Linked DNA regions of Caenorhabditis elegans. The protein of the gene in region 1 purifies or fractionates together with the protein of each later gene. This does not show direct contact. Each region holds a gene or a part of one and is shown in the gene's direction. Other genes may lie near its edges.

What was found.
Region 2: the proteins of cex-1 (region 1) and dao-3 fractionate together in Caenorhabditis elegans (co-fractionation; one large-scale study listed by BioGRID). This does not show direct contact.
Region 3: the proteins of cex-1 (region 1) and zmp-4 fractionate together in Caenorhabditis elegans (co-fractionation; one large-scale study listed by BioGRID). This does not show direct contact.
Region 4: the proteins of cex-1 (region 1) and C51E3.9 fractionate together in Caenorhabditis elegans (co-fractionation; one large-scale study listed by BioGRID). This does not show direct contact.

The regions. Positions count from the first base shown.
Region 1 is NC_003280.10:5,446,061-5,449,189, forward strand, and holds cex-1 (Calexcitin-1), read left to right. Parts: upstream 1-1,620; 5' UTR 1,621-1,622; coding exon 1,623-1,737; intron 1,738-1,780; coding exon 1,781-1,833; intron 1,834-1,886; coding exon 1,887-2,207; intron 2,208-2,254; coding exon 2,255-2,380; 3' UTR 2,381-2,574; downstream 2,575-3,129. Other genes in the region: nmr-1 (LITAF domain-containing protein), read right to left, coding at 1-140, 200-282, 413-544.
Region 2 is NC_003284.9:8,083,701-8,088,376, reverse strand, and holds dao-3 (C-1-tetrahydrofolate synthase, cytoplasmic), read left to right. Parts: upstream 1-1,826; 5' UTR 1,827-1,827; coding exon 1,828-1,950; intron 1,951-2,239; coding exon 2,240-2,413; intron 2,414-2,535; coding exon 2,536-2,914; intron 2,915-3,379; coding exon 3,380-3,597; intron 3,598-3,946; coding exon 3,947-3,964; 3' UTR 3,965-4,167; downstream 4,168-4,676. Other genes in the region: Protein vem-1, read left to right, coding at 1-249, 466-642; K07E3.4 (formate--tetrahydrofolate ligase), read left to right, coding at 4,474-4,476.
Region 3 is NC_003283.11:14,917,234-14,923,659, reverse strand, and holds zmp-4 (Peptidase metallopeptidase domain-containing protein), read left to right. Parts: upstream 1-2,050; 5' UTR 2,051-2,058; coding exon 2,059-2,172; intron 2,173-2,532; coding exon 2,533-2,630; intron 2,631-2,675; coding exon 2,676-2,794; intron 2,795-2,991; coding exon 2,992-3,079; intron 3,080-3,122; coding exon 3,123-3,247; intron 3,248-3,294; coding exon 3,295-3,454; intron 3,455-3,826; coding exon 3,827-3,924; intron 3,925-4,157; exon of another isoform or gene 4,158-4,241; coding exon of another isoform or gene 4,242-4,362; intron 4,363-4,739; coding exon 4,740-4,823; intron 4,824-4,897; coding exon 4,898-5,102; intron 5,103-5,349; coding exon 5,350-5,446; intron 5,447-5,579; coding exon 5,580-5,735; intron 5,736-5,778; coding exon 5,779-5,853; 3' UTR 5,854-5,925; downstream 5,926-6,426. Other genes in the region: srg-54 (Serpentine receptor class gamma), read left to right, coding at 443-573, 624-705, 772-912, 962-1,168, 1,215-1,304, 1,553-1,672; H12D21.11 (uncharacterized protein), read right to left, coding at 5,978-6,327.
Region 4 is NC_003283.11:10,144,282-10,149,521, forward strand, and holds C51E3.9 (Methyltransf_11 domain-containing protein), read left to right. Parts: upstream 1-1,671; 5' UTR 1,672-1,736; coding exon 1,737-1,742; intron 1,743-1,851; coding exon 1,852-1,941; intron 1,942-2,306; coding exon 2,307-2,398; intron 2,399-2,448; coding exon 2,449-2,551; intron 2,552-3,664; coding exon 3,665-3,758; intron 3,759-3,807; coding exon 3,808-3,932; intron 3,933-4,370; exon of another isoform or gene 4,371-4,396; coding exon 4,397-4,603; 3' UTR 4,604-4,696; downstream 4,697-5,240. Other genes in the region: srsx-26 (G-protein coupled receptors family 1 profile domain-containing protein), read left to right, coding at 4,812-4,924, 4,993-5,096, 5,141-5,240.

The DNA.
Region 1 (3,129 bases):
GTGTATATGCTGATGATGTAACCAAATCAATAAATCTTGAAGATGATGTCAGTAATGGAGAAAATATAACAGAAGCCAATGAGTGATTGAGCATCTGGCTGCACACAATATCCTGAGTCAATTCCAGACGATTATCTCCACTGAATATAAGAAATGTCTTTCTCGGGGGAAAAGCTCAACAAATAATAATTTCGAAAACCTTTTTGCATCTACAAAAGCTGCGGAAATAGTGTCATTCCCCAAGTGATATGATGTGCTTCCAAAAACTTCCACGAATGCCGCCTGAAAGAAATTAAGAAGAAAAGTTGAAAATATGATATTTTGTGAATATGAATATGCTAATTTAAAAGTTTGGAGCTTCTTCTATAATGCCGAGTTTGTAAGTTTTTAAAGTAAAAATTTCAAAACTTACCGTAACGGAAACTTTCAATTCTTTGAAAGTTTCTTGATTCGGCTCAGAAACAATTAAAACTGATACTTTATAGTCTATTGTGTATCCCAATTGTAAAAATATCCAAATAAATATAACTGATATTCGGAACATATCTGTAACAAAACTAAAGTTTGTCGTGTTCCAAACAGAAGCAAGATAATTGAAATTTTGGAACTTTAAACGGGTTTTTAAATGGAAAGTAAAACGAGGTAGTAGAAGGATGGAAATAAGAGAAAAGTGGCAGTGCTCTTCTCTTTTCAACAAAAAAACGTATTCTACTTTCACCTCTTCTCCTTCCGAATAAGAGAAAAGAAGACGAAGAAAGATGATTTGGTGGGCACATTTGAGCAAAAGGAAAACGGGCGAAATTGAGTAAAGGAAATGGGTTGAAAAATGGGTGGAGCAGTGAGAAAGAGCACTGGATACTAGTTGATTAAATTATTTCAAAATTCAAATTGTTCTTGAACGGTTATCAGCGGATATTACAAAATCCGTTCCAAAAAATTTTTAGAACTCTATCGAAGAAATTGAAATTTTAAACGTTTTTTTGGAAATTCTGAAAATATGTCAACTTTTTGTTGCTTCTGTAATAAAAAATTACCACTAAGACCTTCAAACCAAACTGTGTCACGAATATTTAGATCTTTCTACTTTCAGATCACGACGTTTGAACGATATGCTCAAAATACAAAACATTAAAATTCAAGTTTTGGGCATTTTTCTTTTTCAAACTTTTTCAAAAGATAAATTATTTTATTAGTTCAGAAGGGTATATACGAGAAGTATACCACTTGATTTTTTATTTCAAAAGCGACACTGGAGCTCCTACCCCGTTCTGACATATGTCTATTCAGAATTTCTTGGGTTCATCATAACATCATAAGCATTCATCTAAAAATACCTCCTCAAAATCCTATTATTTTTTCGATTTCCTTGTTTCCTATGAATCACATAAGTATTCCGTGTAATATCTCGTGCTGTGTGCGGGCGTCGCCGCAAGGAGGAGCTATGATCATCACAAAAGAGCACTTCAATTCGTACACAGAGGGGCGGAGTCAGACATTCTAAAGTGAGATAAAAGCATCTTCACAACCCATGGAATGTTCATTTCTAGATATTTTTTCTTGATTTCTAGACTTTCTCAAGTTCATAATTTTATAATTTTCAGTCAAATCTTATACTTTCAGAAATGGTTGTTGCAAAGCCTACAGCAGCAGTTTCCATTGAAGATCTTATCAAGAAACATTCCGATGTTGATCCGTTCCTTGTCAAGAAGTGGGAACGCATTTTCTCACTATTTTTTGGTTAGTTTTCCCACTCTTTTTTACTTTCAATTATATGTTTCAGATAGAAATGCTTCTCATCAAGTCGATTGGGGAGATTTTTACTTGGTTGTCAAGGTGAGAATTATTTTTAGAATTCTAAATTCTATTATTTTCTTTTAACCTTCCAGAAAGTCCGTGACATTTACGGAGCTGAATCAGTTCAAACTGGCTTTGCCAAGAAATCTCTTGCTGCTCTCTGGGAAGGACTGTGCTCCATTGCTGATGCTGATAAGGATCAATTGATCTCGATTGATGAATGGATCGGACTTTTGAAGAAGACCGATGCGAAGACTGAACCAAAATGGTTCAAGGACTATCAGAACTTTATGTTCAAACTTTTTGATGTTTCCTGTGATGGAGTCATGGATCTTGCCGAGTATACCGATGGAATGAGTACATATGGATTTGATCAATCCGAGTGTGATGCAGCTTTCCATAAGTTTTCAGTGGTGGGATTTAAATATTTTTTTGATTAATTTAAAAGGAATTATTTCAGGACAAGAAAGGTCAATACGTTCCACAAATGAAGCCAGAGACCTGGAACACATACTTCCATCAGTTGTTCTACTCAACAAATAAATCTGACGTTGGAAATCATCTCTTCGGAATTATTGACTTTTAAATTTTCCTTGCTCTATACCATGTACATTGTTCATCCCCCACACCCTTAAAATATTCTGAAAACCCTTCACTTTCCACTACTTTTCTAATGCTTTACAACATATAGTATTATTTTTGAACATACAACCTTTAATTTGTCTCTGACACCAGATGTGCTTGAGCATAAAAATTCAGATAAAATCATGACAAACAAGTAATTTTGATGAATGATCCTCCAGATGTTTGGGTAAAATAAAAAGTTTCCGAGAAACTTTAAATTTTTATAGTGGCTCGGGAAAACTCGGGATTGTTTGTTGGTTGGATTGTTAGAAGGGAAAGAGCATAACATACAATGGTTTAATTCTTTTTGCTGACTTTTCAGTAAAGACTTGGCAGTAAAAACTGGAAGCTTACGAAAAGCCGCTGAATGAAGCCATTGTATTTTGCTCTTAGAAGCAGTAACTATATTTTTGCGGTTTCAAAACATATTTGAGATTCAATAAATTGAGAAATTATAGAGCACAAGTGTCGCAAAAAATAGAGGCGCTCGTCATTTGGCTCCAGTTTCTCGCCCTAGTTTGGCCCAGAAATTATTAACGCGAATCAGAAGTTGGCCAAACTTGGGCAAAAGCTGAACTCTGGGATAACGTGCCAAAAAATATTTTTTGAGCCGCGCCTGAGCAAGAAACCGGAGCCAAATGCCAAGCGAGTCAAGATATCTGTTTAATTCAAAAATAATTTATCGAAAGCCTTACTCGTAATGACTGTAAA
Region 2 (4,676 bases), on another chromosome or scaffold:
GCCCCATTGCCAATGTCCGATATGACAGTTGAAGAGCTGCGCAAGTACGATGGTGTCAAAAATGAGCACATTCTGTTTGGACTCAACGGAACTATCTATGACGTGACTCGCGGAAAAGGATTTTACGGACCAGGAAAAGCCTACGGTACACTTGCCGGGCATGACGCTACCCGCGCGCTTGGAACCATGGACCAGAATGCTGTTTCTAGCGAGTGGGATGATCATACTGGAATCTCTGCTGACGAGCAGGTAGGCTATGCAGTTTTCTCATGAGTAAGAACGTGAAAGTTCGTTATAAACATTTAATCCTTAAAGTCATTGTTTTATGATTTGTGGTATTTATTCATAACTCAGGCATAAACCATAACTTTTTTGTGTCATCAATATGACATCGAAGCTAATTCAAATGTATATTGCCTCGGTCAGATTGATTGTGAACAAAAAAACCTAAATTGATTTTTACAGGAAACCGCCAACGAATGGGAGACACAGTTCAAATTCAAGTACTTGACTGTTGGACGTCTGGTAAAGAATAGCTCGGAAAAAGCAGATTATGGAAATAGAAAATCGTTTGTTCGTGGAGCCGAGTCTTTGGATTCGATTATCAATGGTGGCGACGAGGGCACAAAAAAGGATAACTAATTGTATTCAAATCCATAATTGTTGCACATTCCAAAACGGTTACATCTTATTTTATGTTCTTTGTATGATATGAAATCCCATTGTCCATCCCTTCTCACCATCTCTCGCAAATTTTATATAAATACTGTGATTTAGTTGTTTTTCAAATCGAAGAATGATTTTGAATAAATGATTTTTGTGTACGCCTTTGAAAAATGTTAATATTTAATATTTACTTCATTATTTTCACTGTTCAATTGCTCCGATAATTTGGATTGTGCAGGTTTTAGGACATTATTGATAAGACTTGTTTTCTTCATTTTAAATCATTTGAAAAAAACATTTGAGAATAACATGTTTTGATTTCTGGTTAATAGAAATAGACACTTTTTAAAAATCAACGTTTCCCAGTTTATAAGAAAAATAATGAGTTTCACATTCAAATTTGCAAGGTAAGAAGTTTTCATGATAAGATCCCAGTCCCATTGTAGTCAAAATGTTGATATGATTATTGTTTTTATCTCGGCAAATTGCTGGGTAAAAAGAGATTTTGCGTCGTATGGATGCCGATAAGATTTCTGTGTTATGCGCGCGCATTGCATGCAAGGCCAGCCGCCGACTGTTATCGATTTTCATGGTCCGCCGCCACGCGTTCGTATTGGACATTTCTGCACTGTGTCCATTATTTTGATATATTGTTAACATATAAGGCAGCAAAAACTTTCAAAAGTATTATTTTCATGTGACAAAAATTGAATTTTGTTCCTTGATACACTGTTTTCATTTTCAAGCAAACATGTTTAATGCGGAAGCTTTGACATCGAAACTGTCGGTGGAACATGTATTTTCCATGAGAATGTCGCTGACAAGCAACTCTAGTCACTCGACACATAAAATCATAGCGATCTTCAGCATAAGATAACAAGGCCAGGCCGTTTTAAAACTCTTCTCATCACTCCCCCACAAACAACAGACCGCTATGCATATTCAACTTTTTCGACGCTTTATTTTTTCACTCTGTCCCCCACCATCGAAATGTGAATATGTGCTAAGTTTCCAATCAGCTTGTCCTCTGACTTCTGCACTAGTCTCTTCCCATGAATAGCCAAGTACAAGAGGAGTTTCGTACTCTTTTCCTTTACTCTTCCCCTTCTTGTTTTCTTGACGTATTTTTCAACTTGATTATTACTTTGTTTATTTTTTAGAATGGTCGCGGAGATCGTCAGTGGACTCGAGTACTCAAAAAAGGTTCTTCACGATGTCGGACAGAAAATCGCAAAAACCCGTGAGCACCACCCAAATTTTCATGCAGTATTGGCAATTGTTCAGGTATGAAAGCTTACCACTGATAATAATTTTATTTCAAGCATTGCTATTAACTTAATAATATTTCTAAATTGAATATATGAAAATGAAAATCTCTGTCCAATCTGTGTTTTGAGTTCATGACGTACATAAGTGCATTGCATACTTACAAAACAGATTTTGAAAGTTTTGCAGAGCGTAATTTGTAGTTGTGGTGTACTTTTGAGATACCGGCTTTTATTTCGTAACAAGACAAATAATATCCGAGGGGATATCTGTTATACTGAATAACTCAAAGTCTCAAAATTTGCAGGTTGGAAATCGTTCAGACTCCAATGTGTACATTAATTCCAAACTGAAAAAAGCAAAGGAAATCGGAGCAGATGGAAAACTCATTAAGTTGCCAGACACCATCACTCAAGGAGATTTGAAGCGAGAGATTATGGCTCTTAATCATGACAACGAGATTGACGGAATTATCATTCAGGTTAATATAACGGATTAAGTTGTAATATTGAAATGTTAACTTATAACGGAAAAAAAACACATCTCAGTTAATTAAAAAAAAACATCGGAAGCTAAACAATAATAGCAAGTTATTAATTTCAGCTTCCACTGGACTGCAAGCACGAAATCGACGCAGACTCTGTTATCGACTTGATTGACCCATTGAAAGATGTCGATGGACTGACTCGTATCAATGCTGGACGTTTGGCTCGTGGAGAACTCCAGCGTACGATCTTTCCTTGCACTCCGTTTGGATGCTTGTACTTGGTTCAACAGGCAACTGGTGATGCCAACTTTGTGTCTGGAAAGGAGGTGGTTGTTTTGGGACGCTCGAAAATTGTCGGATCTCCAGCCGCTGCGCTTTTCTTGTGGCATCATGGAACTGTGACAATCTGCCACTCAAAAACTCCAAATCTCAAGGAGAAATGCCTGAGAGCAGATATTTTGATTGTGGCAATTGGGAGAAAACATTTCGTCAAAGGTAGATTATCAATAAACCTAAATTTGAGATAGTGCACAGTACTGGCCATACAGATATCAAAAGATTGATTTCAACTTCAGCAAACGTGGTTATTCCGAGCTGAGATCTGACTATAGTAAAATAGTGAAAGTTTTTATATCCTGATTTTTTGGAATTCATCATTGAACAAATTTCGCGTTGCTTTTTTCATAATTACGCCCAAATCCATTTAAAAGAAGAATCTTGGCAAAAGTTATTACGAGTAGACCTTTATATGAGCAGCACGGTATTTACTTGCTAACCTAAAAGTTTGTAAGTCATTAAATTATGCAAAATATCTATAATAGAAACCCCAATTTAAGAACTATCAATGTTTAGTATGCACCTGACTGTTTGCAACTTCTGAATTGTTTTGCATCAAATAGAAACAGACTCTCTGTTCTGATAAGTGTCAGCGTTTTTTACAAATAAAAGCATATATTTCAGCTGATTGGATCAAGCCTGGCGCATTCGTCATCGACTGTGGAATCAACGTTGGTGACGACCCAAACTCACGCAAAATTTACGGAGATGTTGACACAGAAGCCGCAAAGGAAGTCGCCGGATTCCTCACACCTGTCCCCGGAGGCGTTGGACCAATGACTGTTGCCATGCTCATCCGTAACACATTTGAGCAGGCTAAGAGACGACGTCTTGGACAAAAGGTAAAATAGCTTTCCTTTTGCGACACTAAGTTTGTGCAGGTTTTTTGATGTTCTGGCCTAAGCGTGGATAGTGCCAAACAGTTTGTTTTGCGTGTGGGGTTGATACTGATGCACCAGAGTTTATTTCAAAAATTACAAAAGACACCGATAGCACGTTATCGACTCAAAGAACTTCAAAAATTCATTGAGCGATAAACTCTACGAAACAAGCAAATTTCATGGACATTGTCTTCATTATTTACACCGAATGTAAAGTTGTTCTGCAACTATAGTGTGCCTCACACAAAATCGATTGAAAATATGTTAAAAATATTTGTAAGTGTTGTATTTCACAGAACCTACTTTTCAGGATGACGATGATGAGTGAACTTCAAGCACCCACTTCCACCACATCATTTGCGAATGAACTATTTATAATGTGCTTTTTGGTTTGACTTTTTACTCTTTAAAATTTGTTGTGACGTTCTGGAACTTGAAGTCCTCTTCATACCTTTTTTTAATCTAATCTTTTCAATTTGTATTTTCTTTTTATTGTCACTTTCCACCGAAATAAACAATGACCAAGGACACAATTAGCCCTGATTTGTAAAAAGACCATGGTCTCGCGATAAATGCACGTGGTTAGTTTAGATGTTTAGATGCACGAGAGCGACGCAACATCGAACAAATCAGAGGACGCGATCAATAAGGCAGACCCGGCAAATGCCCCCCGTGCATGTTTTCTGTGCGTCTCCTAATATCTGATACTGACTCGATTACTTGTTCTGCCCACTGCCTTATCAAGGTGTTTGTATTTAGTGGCCATCGCTCTGCAGTTGTTTGAATCACTCGCTTTTTATTTTCGTTGATTCATTGGTTTCTCTTGAATTGTGAAACATGGTAAGTAACACTAACGTTTTGGGATTTGATTTTTAAACGGAAAATGCAATTTTGAAAACTCCAAAAATAACAAAAATAATTTGTTCATGTTTTGAGCGTGAGCAAAAAAAACAGAACTTGTGTATAATAACTCCACACTGTAAAAATACATTTTCAAAAAAAAAAAGAGTCTGAAGATAAAAAAAAGAGTATTATCTGTT
Region 3 (6,426 bases), on another chromosome or scaffold:
AAAGTTTAATTTTCTAGAACCACAATATTGAAGTGTGTTTGGGGAAAGTGGCTAGAGAAGATACTGAAAAATGTAGTACATGTTTCCAAACTTACTCTGGTATTGACAAATGAATAACTACACTGAAATTTTTAAAATAAAAATCCCTCGCAAGAAATTGGTAATTTAATTTCAAGTGCCAAATTTGAAAAATTTCGGTTCCTTTCTTTAAAATATTGTTTTGCGTGTTTAAAGCTATACAATTTAAAAAAACAAATATGTATAAAATTCAGGAAAAACACGAAATTTAGGTCGATTAGCAAAATTATTATAGTTTTTTTGGCACTTTTTAATCTATAAATTTAAATAATGCCACTATCAGGTTTCGTTTTTTTGAAAAACTCCAATTTAGGAAATAATGTTTCCAATAGTTTCAGACTTTATTCAAACGATAAACTTCCAGAATATTACATGTTACATCAATAGTTGGTTAGCTATCCGCTTGGAATACTTCGAAATCGGACGAACTTTCCTTATTTTTCTAGAATCTTCTCTTCCAGGATGCCTCACACTGTCAAAGCTTTTTGTTTCATTGTAAGATATATATCATATTTTAAAAAAATATTATTATTATTCATTTTCAGATACTTCCACTTGCAAAATGTTACGGGATTATTTCTAGTTATTTATCGCTTCACATCAGTTTACTCAATAAATTCTGAAAAGGTATGCAGACTGGAAATTCTACTCTAATACTTTATACTCTAATAATATTTTGCGATTAATTTTCAGGTATGGAATCGCTGGTATTTTTTAGTTCCAGTTCTCGGACTGTTATATTCTTTTATTATTATTTCCCCATGGTGGCTTTTTCAAAATTATGTTACTAGAGTTAGAATTATTGATGGGAAACTTATTAAAATAGTTAATCAGGTTTTTTTCAGTGAATAAAATAACATTTCCTAATATCTGGTAATTTCAGAGAGCACTTTTAACTCAAGCATCTATAAATCCATATTTCTCTGCATTTTATTTTCTTTTAATTATATTAATTGGTGTTTGGACTACTGTACTCTTAGAGAACAGATGGAAAAAGAGTCATTCGAGAAGACATAATCACTTTATTAAAAAATTAACACGTGTCATATTTTGTAACAGTTTTTTGATGTCTGGAAATTTATTGCTTTTGGTATTCAACAGATTTCAGGTTTAAAATATTTTTAGTTGGTTTTCAGATTGCCACCAGTGTGATGTACGTTATTTGCCCTTTTCGAACAGTTATTATGAAAATACAAACAATTGCTGTAACATTTACATCGGATATGGTAGGTTATACCAACATCAATTTAATCTGCCCGCAAAGTAAATTCGACCCTCTCCAGCTGATTGGTCGATTCAAGCGGGAAGTTGAATCTGGATATTGTGTGTATTCAGTTGAAGCTTGCTTAGGTTTAAGATTTCAAAAATTTTAAAATATTTTCCACCGCCAGAACAGAAAAACAAGGAGAATGTCAAAGAATAAGTCTTGAACTTTCTTTATTAAGTTCGCTTGTTGGAGTTCTTTTTTTTTCAGGTAACTCTAGCCATGCCGTACATCCTTCTGGCATTTGACTCGAACATGCGAAGAATTCTGAGAATTGAAAAATCAAAAGGTTACGACAGCAGAACAGCATCCAATTATGCAGAAAACTAATATTATTTGTATTAAGTCTCCCATTTTAAAATTTAGTGATCTTCGATCTATATGATTAACAGAAATGATATCACTCACTCAATCATTTTGTCATTTTTCCCCTTCCTTTTTTCTGTTCTAACCCATATCACAATCTTACCAAGTTCGGCGAGATGACCAAGAGAAAAAAGATCGAATCCAATTTTCTTATTTTCTTCATCATTTGATAGTTTTTCCAACTGTTTTTGTTTCGATTACCTCTTCGATTTTTCTATTTACTTTGAATGAAAAGATCAATTTATTTTAAGTTGGAAAAACCTGTTCACATGCGACACTTTTCCGTTGTTTTTACCTATTTTTTCTTCCTTTTGTTTTTTATGATTATTTTTCTAAGTTCAGGTCATTCAATGTGGCCTTTGTTTTTATTGGGTATTATTGGAGTGGTTTCTGCTGGAATTCCAGGCACAAATGGAGATATTCGTCAGCCAAATTTTCAGAAAGAGCTCATGGATGAAGCCAAGGTATGTAGCAGTTTGAGCAGTTTTAAAAGTGAGGAAGTGATTCTGCCTTTCGCTTTTATTTTTTCTCTCATCCTTCGTTCGCCCGGAAAATGCCTCCAAAAGAGAAATAAAATTAAATAGAAAATTAAAAAAAAGGAGAATTCAACTGCAACGAAATACATTGAAATTAAACATTGAAATTGAAATTTTAGAAAAAAGTTTTGAATAAATTATTCAACAGCTACTTTGTCAGTGTGATGTTGAAAATTTTTTGTTTTCATCAGTTTCACAATACATACAAACAGTTTAATTATAGAAACTCTTCTGAAGAAAGTTTCTTAAAAAATGACTGAATGAAGTTTGTAACTGAGAGATTTTCAGGTATATCTCTTCAAATTCGGTTACATGATTCCTGAACCACACCAAAATGTAAAAACAATTCAAGAGCCAAGTGAAAAACAGACAAAAGATGCTCTTATGTAAGTACTAATTGTAAATGTAACTTTTTTGAAAAAGTTGTTTAGTCGCTTCCAATCTGCATTCCTCTATTATTCATCAGGAGATGTTGATGTTCCAACTCAAGCAAAAATGAACGAATGGAGATGTGCTAATAATGATATGGATAAGGGACAACCAATTCCACGTGAGAATAACAGATTTAAAATATTTTAGTAGGTAAATTCAATGAAGCGCGAGACGCCTCGATGGTTCCGCATTTCTTATAGTGTCAAAATCTGATGGAGGTAGCACCTAGAAGGTGTCGGCTACAAAACATTTTATTTGAATTCTATACTCTACGAGGGCTCCTCTAGTTCTTTTTAATTCACAGCTTAATTTCAGCAGCTTCGAAAAAAGAGTTATGGACGAAGAAATCACTGACCTACAAAGTGGTAAACACTCCAAATACTCTTTCTCAAGCACAAATAAGGTTAGCTAAAAATTTGAAAAAACAAATCCTAAAAATATTTCAGATCTGCCGCCCATGAAGCATTTGAACAATGGACCAGAGCCAGTGGTTTCAAATTTGTGGAAACAACTGGAGCAACCCCAGATATAACAATCACCTTCTACGATGTCCCACAAAGCAATTTGAGAAGTAGATTTTCCTTATATAATTCTATATATTTTATACTGTAATTTCAGTTGCTGGAAGTGCATCAAAACCAGTGAACAGTCATATCATTCTTGATAAAAATCAGGAATGGGCATACAAGTCACAAGCCCCAATGGGAATCTCTCTTTATCATACGCTTCTTCACGAAATTGGACACATTTTGGGTTTGCCACACACTTTTTATAGAGGGTAAGTGGTTATAATGACAGACATTTAAATTTTTGTAGCAAATCTGATATGATTTTTGTTGCATAGAAATTTTCAAAATAAGCCCAAATGTTTACCTACTCCCAAATACCCTAAAAATATACAAACTCTACAAAGAAATTCTACAAGCTTCGTAAATTGTGAAAAAAAAGCACCTAAACAATTTATAACTTAACAACATCTTGAATTTAATTTTAGAAATTCAATGCGAAGCTTAGTTTAGTTTAATATAAACAATATAAAAGTTTAATATAAAAAAGTTTAATATAAATAGTTTAATATAAAATAAAAAAGTTTAGTTTAATAATAATTTAGTAAAATAAAGTTTAGTTTACAAAAAGAAAAATTTTTCAGATCTATCATGCACCCAATTTTCAAGCCAGTCCTCCTCCCCCACGGTACAGTTGACACAGTTCCAAATGTTGATCGTCTAGCGATTCGAAAGATTTATGGTGAGTCATCATATCATCTGGTTATTGAGTCACAATATATTATATCCGACAAGATCTACTAAAAAGTGTAATGGGTTCTAGTGACCAACTTTTTGTAAAATATAGATTCAAATCCTTATTGCCTAGTTCTTTGAAAAATTTTTAAAATAAAGTGTTTTGTCCAATCTTTCCTACGTCAACCGCCGCCGAAATTTTGCGGTTTTTTGTGACCATCTTGTGAAGAACAGCTGCACATCTCAACTCTTCCCTTTATTCCTTCTCTTTTCACTTTCATTTCAATTTGCCAAGACTTTTGCTCTCAGTCTTAGGAGCTTGAAATGAACTTCAATTTATCTTCTGTTCTTCTTATTTTTTCATATGTTCTCTGTGCTATAGCCGGTCCACCGGGTATTGAGGTTGATACGGATACTGCTGAAGATAATTCAGTTGGAAATGAAGGTTTGTTGATAGGGTTCAAGATTTTTAAATTCAAACTTCTGAAGTAATAAACAATAAAACTAAAAAAATGACTTCCAAAATTTTTAAAGTAACCACGTGGTAATTCAAATATTGCCCAGCTATTTCTAGTTTTCGGGGATTAAGGTGCTTAAGGCGCTTTAAAAATCTCTAAACATCTGTGCTCCACATGTGCTCCTGCTGCGAATAATTTTTTTTAAAATCACATATTGAAAAATTACAACATAATACATTTTTTTAAATGAAAATACACTGAATTTTGAATACTTTGTAAAATATTTCAAATATCTTTGACCGGAAGCATGTGATGTGCACCCAGATGTACCCTGAGAAATCAACAATCTTTTCTCATATTTCAGGACTTTCATCCGTCGATCATTCAACTCCGTCGTCAGATGTTGATCGTTCAAAATGCCCAAAGCATCTTGACTCTGTTGTTGCTAGTGTGTTTTATTTTTTTATTTGTTTTCGAGTGAATATTGAAATGAAATTCTGTGAAACAGTGTGAATGTTTCAGTAAACGACCAAGAATGGCTCTTCTTCCGTTCCAACAAAGTGTACAAACTCAACAATCGAAAGTTCGTTGACTCGGGTCGCCCAATTCAACAAGTGTTCCCACGTGGCCCACAATTTGTCAACGCCACTGTGTCATCTGGACCATTGACTCTTTTGTTCGTGGAACGAACTATTTATGGATATGAATACGATGGAGTGCAGTTTACGTAAGTACACTTTTTATTGTCAATTTATTCATGAAAAACCTGTGCATTTTAAAAGGAAACATATTTAATTTGAAAAATGACCTTTTAAATAGGTTTCTACGTGAAATTAAGAGGTACCGGAGCATTCTGATATGTAAAAAAAAGTCGATCTAAAATTAAAAAGGATACGGTTTGTATACATATCTCACTATTTTCGCGGCTCTTAATATACAAAACTTTTTTTTCTAAACTTGTGAAGTATTTTCAGGGAAGCTCCAAATTATCCAAAAGAACTTCACGATCGTGTTCTCTTCTACCCACAGGGAGCATTCCCACTGAATAATGGGAGTGTCATTCTTTTGTCGGTATGTTTTTTTATTTCGTTTTAGTTTTCAGGTTATACAACCACAAAAAAAAGTATTTTTTCTTTAAGATTGTAATAATTATTGCTCATTGAGGCTACTTATCAAAAACTCAATAACATCCGTCTACTTACAGGGTAACGTGTTTGCTACCTACAATGTGCAACAGAATGCTCCATCATTCTTGAACGACAAAAATCGATATTTCCCAAATTTGCCAGAAGATATCAAAAGTGGAATTGAAAAGACTCAAGGGTTCACTGATGCATATTATATGTTTGATGAGGCTACGGTAACCGTTTTAAACTTTAAATTTAGACAATGGAGAAATTTAGGTCTCCGACTACGATATGAACTCAAAGCAGGTTCTCCAGTTGCAAAACATTCCAGACTTTTTGAAATGTACTTAATGATAATTTCCATGTATAAATTGAATATGTTGTCCCATGTACTACTAATAAATGAAAAATGTTTTTATTTACATTGAATGTTAAATGCTATGCTTCGCAATTATTCGAAAAACATTGAAATTAACTACCTATTTCCGGAAGAATGCCCGTCAGCGGAAGATACCTTATTCAGTGTTCTTCTCAAAATCTGAAATCGATGTTCATGCCTTCGAGGTAACCCAGATTCAGCAGTGGCGAATATGGTAGGATCTGGACTTGAAACAACTTGAGAAATAGATGCAACTTCTAGTCCTGGGTGCTCTTCCGGTACATTAGGTAAATCATCATCAATGTCCAGGTCACATTCCGAACCAACATCACTAATTGTGTTCAGCTCGTTTTCAGAGGGAAACATGAGTTCTTCGGCGATATTTTCAAATACAAATTCGAATTTCGTAGATTTGACACCATCACTTTTGGTCTTCTTTGCCGCCACTGAAATTGGAACATTGAAAATAAAGTGAAATTTCCGGGAAAGAGACTTGTTGTTTTGAACCGATTTTTTGTACTATATATTATTGATATTTTTGATCA
Region 4 (5,240 bases), on another chromosome or scaffold:
ATCCTTACAGTTTGCAGCAATTTGTAAAAACATTTGTTAAAAAACGCTTCTGGTCGAATGTCTGCTACTGGTGGTGATCATATTGATCAAATGAATATGAGTACCTACGCGACTGGAGCACCAGGTTCAGATCTTCCGGACACTCATGATGACAATAAAGTAAGTGTGAAATGCAGAAGAATTATTAGTTTTTTTTTTCAATGTTCTGGAATCCTGGAATTGTCCGTAGTTGTAGTTGTACGAAATTTGAATTGTTCCGCGTCCAAAATAGCATCCTCTATGGGAAGCAACAGTGTTTGAAATTGTTGAATTTGAGCATGGATAGAAATAAGTTATTTGATCAGAAGCAGAACAATAAAGACCAGAAGATGCACATGAGTTTCCGTCGGCTGGAGTATAACCAGGAGTTTTAGGGTCCAAAAAGCTACTTGTTGGTCCTCTTTCAAACCAGTTATAAAATCCTCCACGGTAGAAACAGTTTGATGCATCTTGATCGGACTGATGTCTGAAATTCATCAATTTTGAAGTTTCTTGAATAGCATGGGCAAAGAAAGCCGTCAAATCTCGTTTCTTATTTTCATGCAGTATATACATCTGCAAAAATATGAAATAATCTCGAAATGTGGCAATACTTGAATTTTGAAGAAAAAATATTTACATACAGTATTGTTGACATTGATCGAAGTTCCAAATTCTGGAAAGTATCTGGATGCAATTTTGAAAACATCGTAAGAATATGGCCAGCAACTCGAAGGACCCCATCCAAGATTGGCAAATGGGAACAGGTCTTCAAACATTTCTCTCGTGAACCAGCATTCTAGTTTTGAAGCAGGAAGATTATTTGGATCCGTTGGCGGAGTGCATGATTTCGGAGGTCCATTGCCGCTTTTGGACACAATCTACCATTTCGAAAACGATATGCATACACAATAGAACAGTCTATAAAAGTGAAATTCGCATAAGTTTCTGCTTTAAAAGCTTACACGATATAAAAACAGCTATGAGTACGGAATTGATGATAATCATAATATTCAATCAACATTTGAATGTGTTCAAGTTTTGTTTAAGTACTTTTTATTTATTTTATTATTCAAAACACACATTGACGATGCATCAATTTTTAAACTTGTATAGTCGCTATAACATAGCACATTTGGCAATTATGAAAACAATTATTAAATAACACATTTTTTCAGATTGACAAATTGAAATTTTCAAACGCATGTAACCACTTTTTTCAGCGATTGATCTGCAAAGGATTCCCAGTATACACAAAAAAGTCATATTGATGGGGTTTAAAGAGAGCTCGGAGTAAAAAATCTCGAAGGCACAAATCTTCCCATATTTTGTCCAGCTGATTCAAGAAAAACTGTTTGATTCAAAGTTTGAATAATTTTTTTAAAACTCCTACTGAATTCTAAATGTCTTTAATTACTTTTCAAGATATTCATAATTCCGATATTTAACCAATAAATCTCAAGATCATTGATTTCCCACAACACGCTGTCACCACCTACACGTGTTCACCAGAAAGTCGTTTCCCAGATCGAAATTTAACAGTGTGCAAACTTCTTTCGCCGCGCTACTCCACTTGTTGCTCATCCATCTTTTCCGCTTCTTCTCATCCTCATTTTCACTCCCCCACTTGTGTTGTTTCCTCATTTCTTTCCACCAGAGCCTAGAGAAGAAGATATTTCTCGCCGTTTGTCCAGGTGTACAACAATCAACGCTTCAAGATGGTGGTCAGTTTTTTTTTCAATTTTCAAATACTTTTATCTAAACTTATATAGTGAATACACAAGAATTACACAAATCTGATTCCGTAATTGTAAAAATATGCAATTGTTACAGAGAGTAAAGTTTGGAAAAGAACAGTATGAAGCTATCAAGAAATTTGAAGTTCAGCATCACGGAGATTTCTGGAAGTTGATTATGGATAAAGTAAGTTTGATTTTAAACTTGATACTAAATCTTACAACGTATTATCCAAATAAACATACCATGTCACGGTTTTTTTAGACTTTAATTTTTTCTTTATACAATAGATTTTTAAAGGTATTATGTATAGTATTTTTTGTTACTTTTATGAAATACTCACAAAAAGAAGTAATCATAAAATAGTAATTTTTCGCTAGAAGTCACAGGTTTCTATTGGATCTTCGATGCCTTGGCGTCTAGAGCCACTAGTGCTTTGGGGCCTAGATAGAACTAAAAGTTTTACAAAGTTTTATTCTCGAATAAAATGGTTCAAATGCAATTTCTAACACACGTAAATTTTTAACCCAAAAATAAGTCTACTTTTTCAGATGGGAAAATCCGATGGTCTTTCAATCTTGGACGTCTCAGAGGAAGCTTGTTTATTTGCTTTGACTTTGGCTGAAAATCACCCAACCAACAAGTAAGCATGGGCAATAAAAGAATGGAATTAGAATATAGGTTTGTTTTCAGGCTAACAATTATGACATCGAGTGTAAGACCAACTTTCGATTTTCCTGTCAATGTCCAATATCACAAAGGGAGCATCCTGAGAAATGCCGATTCAATCGCCCAGGTGTGTTCGGAAGCGTTCTTTTTAGTTATTGAATCTCAAAGAACCAATCACATAAAAATCAAGTTAATGTGACCTATCAAATAATTGATAGAATATCGAAAGATCTGGGTTGATTGGTGTAAGTGTGTGCGTGCAGATGTGTGAGTTGCCATCTGTTATGTAACAACACATGCTCATTTTTTCTTCTCTGGAGCCGCCAAAACAGCGAAAAAGACCCGTGGTGACAAGATAATTGTGTCGTGAACCTTCGATCAGAAGATTTTTGAAGTTTACTCAGAGCCTTTTCGTTTTTTGAGGCGACGAATAAGATGGCGGATTGAATTACACGGTCTAGAGTTGAAGATGAAAAAAGCCCGCATGAAACACTCGTTAAATTAGAAGATACCGGGGTAAAGGAGACAGAGACGTTTGACCAAAAATCACTTGAATTACGTACTCCGTTGGCTTTTGACACTACTTCAAAATATATCTTAAAGTTGACAAACATTGTTTACAATTGTCAAAAACTTTTGAAAAACTCTATTATCTACAAAACGATTGATCGAAAGTTTTAGATGTTTTTCAAAAATGATAGAATGTTTAAAACTGTGAATGAATTGATAACAGCAATTAAAGATACCGTTCATTAAAAAAAACAGTTTTGTGTAAATACTTATGTATTTCAACATATGTTTAGTAATAAATTTCTAAAGGTATTGTCAATCCAAGAAATATTTTGTGCCACCTATCCTTGGAAAAATTTAAAAAAAATTATAGCAATTTCTTTTTTAAAAAATTCATGTGTTTTTTTTATTAATTTTTATATTAATCTTTAATTTTTATTACAATTCACGAATCAATCATTGAAACAATGATGTGTTAGAGTTCTACATATTAAAAAAGAAGTTGGTATTTTCGAAAGTCAACAATTATTCCTCTCCCTTTGTAGATTTTAGAAATTACTTTCAACGAATCCGTCTGATCATTTTGTAAGTGTTGAACAATTAAAAAATATTATTCACGAGTTCATGCTACAGAGTTTCTCACGCCTCCGAACAACTTGTTGCCGAACTAGTTCTACTTATATCTTTCTCAAAAATAAAAACTTCCGCCTAAAATACAATTTATTTTCAGAGTGGTCCCTTTGATCTCATTATTTTCAACGAGATTTCACACGATATTGGAGATATTGATGGATTGTTCAAAAAGCTGAAAACTCTTCTTAAAGGTTGATCGAATTCGGACGATACTTGAAGAAAATTGTTATTAACTTTTAGATGGAGGTCAAATAGTTCTCTTTTCTCGCCCCAAGAATCCACCATTGCCAGTTCCCGATATATGTCTCATGCTTTGGAGAAAACTTGCAGCTACTAAAGAGGAATTGCTTGCATCAGCAAACGCCGTAAGTGATTATTCAGCTGACTTTTTTGACTACTTAGACTTGGATTCCCACGGATCATGGGAAGATCAGTCATCAGACTAGATTACTGAGTATGATCGAAATGTTTTTGAAGCATCTCGTGATCTCAATTAAAACACAGATGGAGTACTTAGTCAGTAAGAATATAAAATTCCAGGAATTACGAGGAAATTTGATTTTAAAACACTTCCGTCAAAACCTATGCCAGTCCATTTCAGATCATAATCATCAATAAACCAACATTGTATGATTTCTAAATATGCTTGAATGTAACCAAAATTTCATTAAAAATCAAAAAGTCAAAAATAATTTAATAATATTAGTCAGCATAAACCTTTGCCAGAAATTGTTAATTAACTCTCAGTCAGCTGTCATGAATTCCCAGTTGAACCTTTTTTTTTAATAGGAATTTGGGAAAGTATTCCAAAAAAAAAAACCAATTTCAGGCTCAACTCAATTCTACATGCTTCTCTGCAGCCGTTCCAATTTCTGTCGACAAGGTTCAATGGGAGAATATTTTGTATTCCGGTTGCTTCCCAGCCGTCAAGAACACCCCAAAATGTGATGAACGTACTATTCGTGATTTCTGTGTTTCAAAGTCTGGAAAATTCGAATTCGAGGAGAAACTTTTGATCGTTATGTTACGTAAATAATTATTTGATTTTGTTATTGAATGTTTGTCTGCAGGGTTCACTTTCCCTAGTTGGTCCAATGATTGGATTTTATGAATAAACTCACGTACTCTGATCTTCTCTTTTGGTAGAAAAAGTTGCATTTTGCACGACACAATCCTGTGAAAAAACGGAAAAGTTTTCAGATTTCTGTATTCTGTTCCTTGTTTCATTCATTGATTCTATTAAAATGTTCGATCATTTGGATCTTAATTTACTTCCACTTGCGATCTTCTTTATTTTTTGTTCAACTATTGGAGTGATTGGAAATTTAATTATGATAATATGCTGCTCTGTTACAAAGTAAGTGTGGAATTTAATAATTACTGGGCATATTAAATACCGGCACTATAAAATAATTTAATTTTCAGAAGACTTCATTCTCCTTGTTATTTTTTAATATCACTAACATGCCTAATTGATGCATTTCATATTAGTGGGCAATTTCCATTCCTCATTGAATATTTCACAGGAAGTTGGTTGAATTGAATATATTCTAACTTTTTTTCAAACTTCCAGTCACATCGAGTCAATCAGAATGCTATTTTATTCTGATTCTTCCAATCGTTGGATATTGTGCAGGTGGTCCATTGATTCTAGCGATGGGAATTGATCGGTT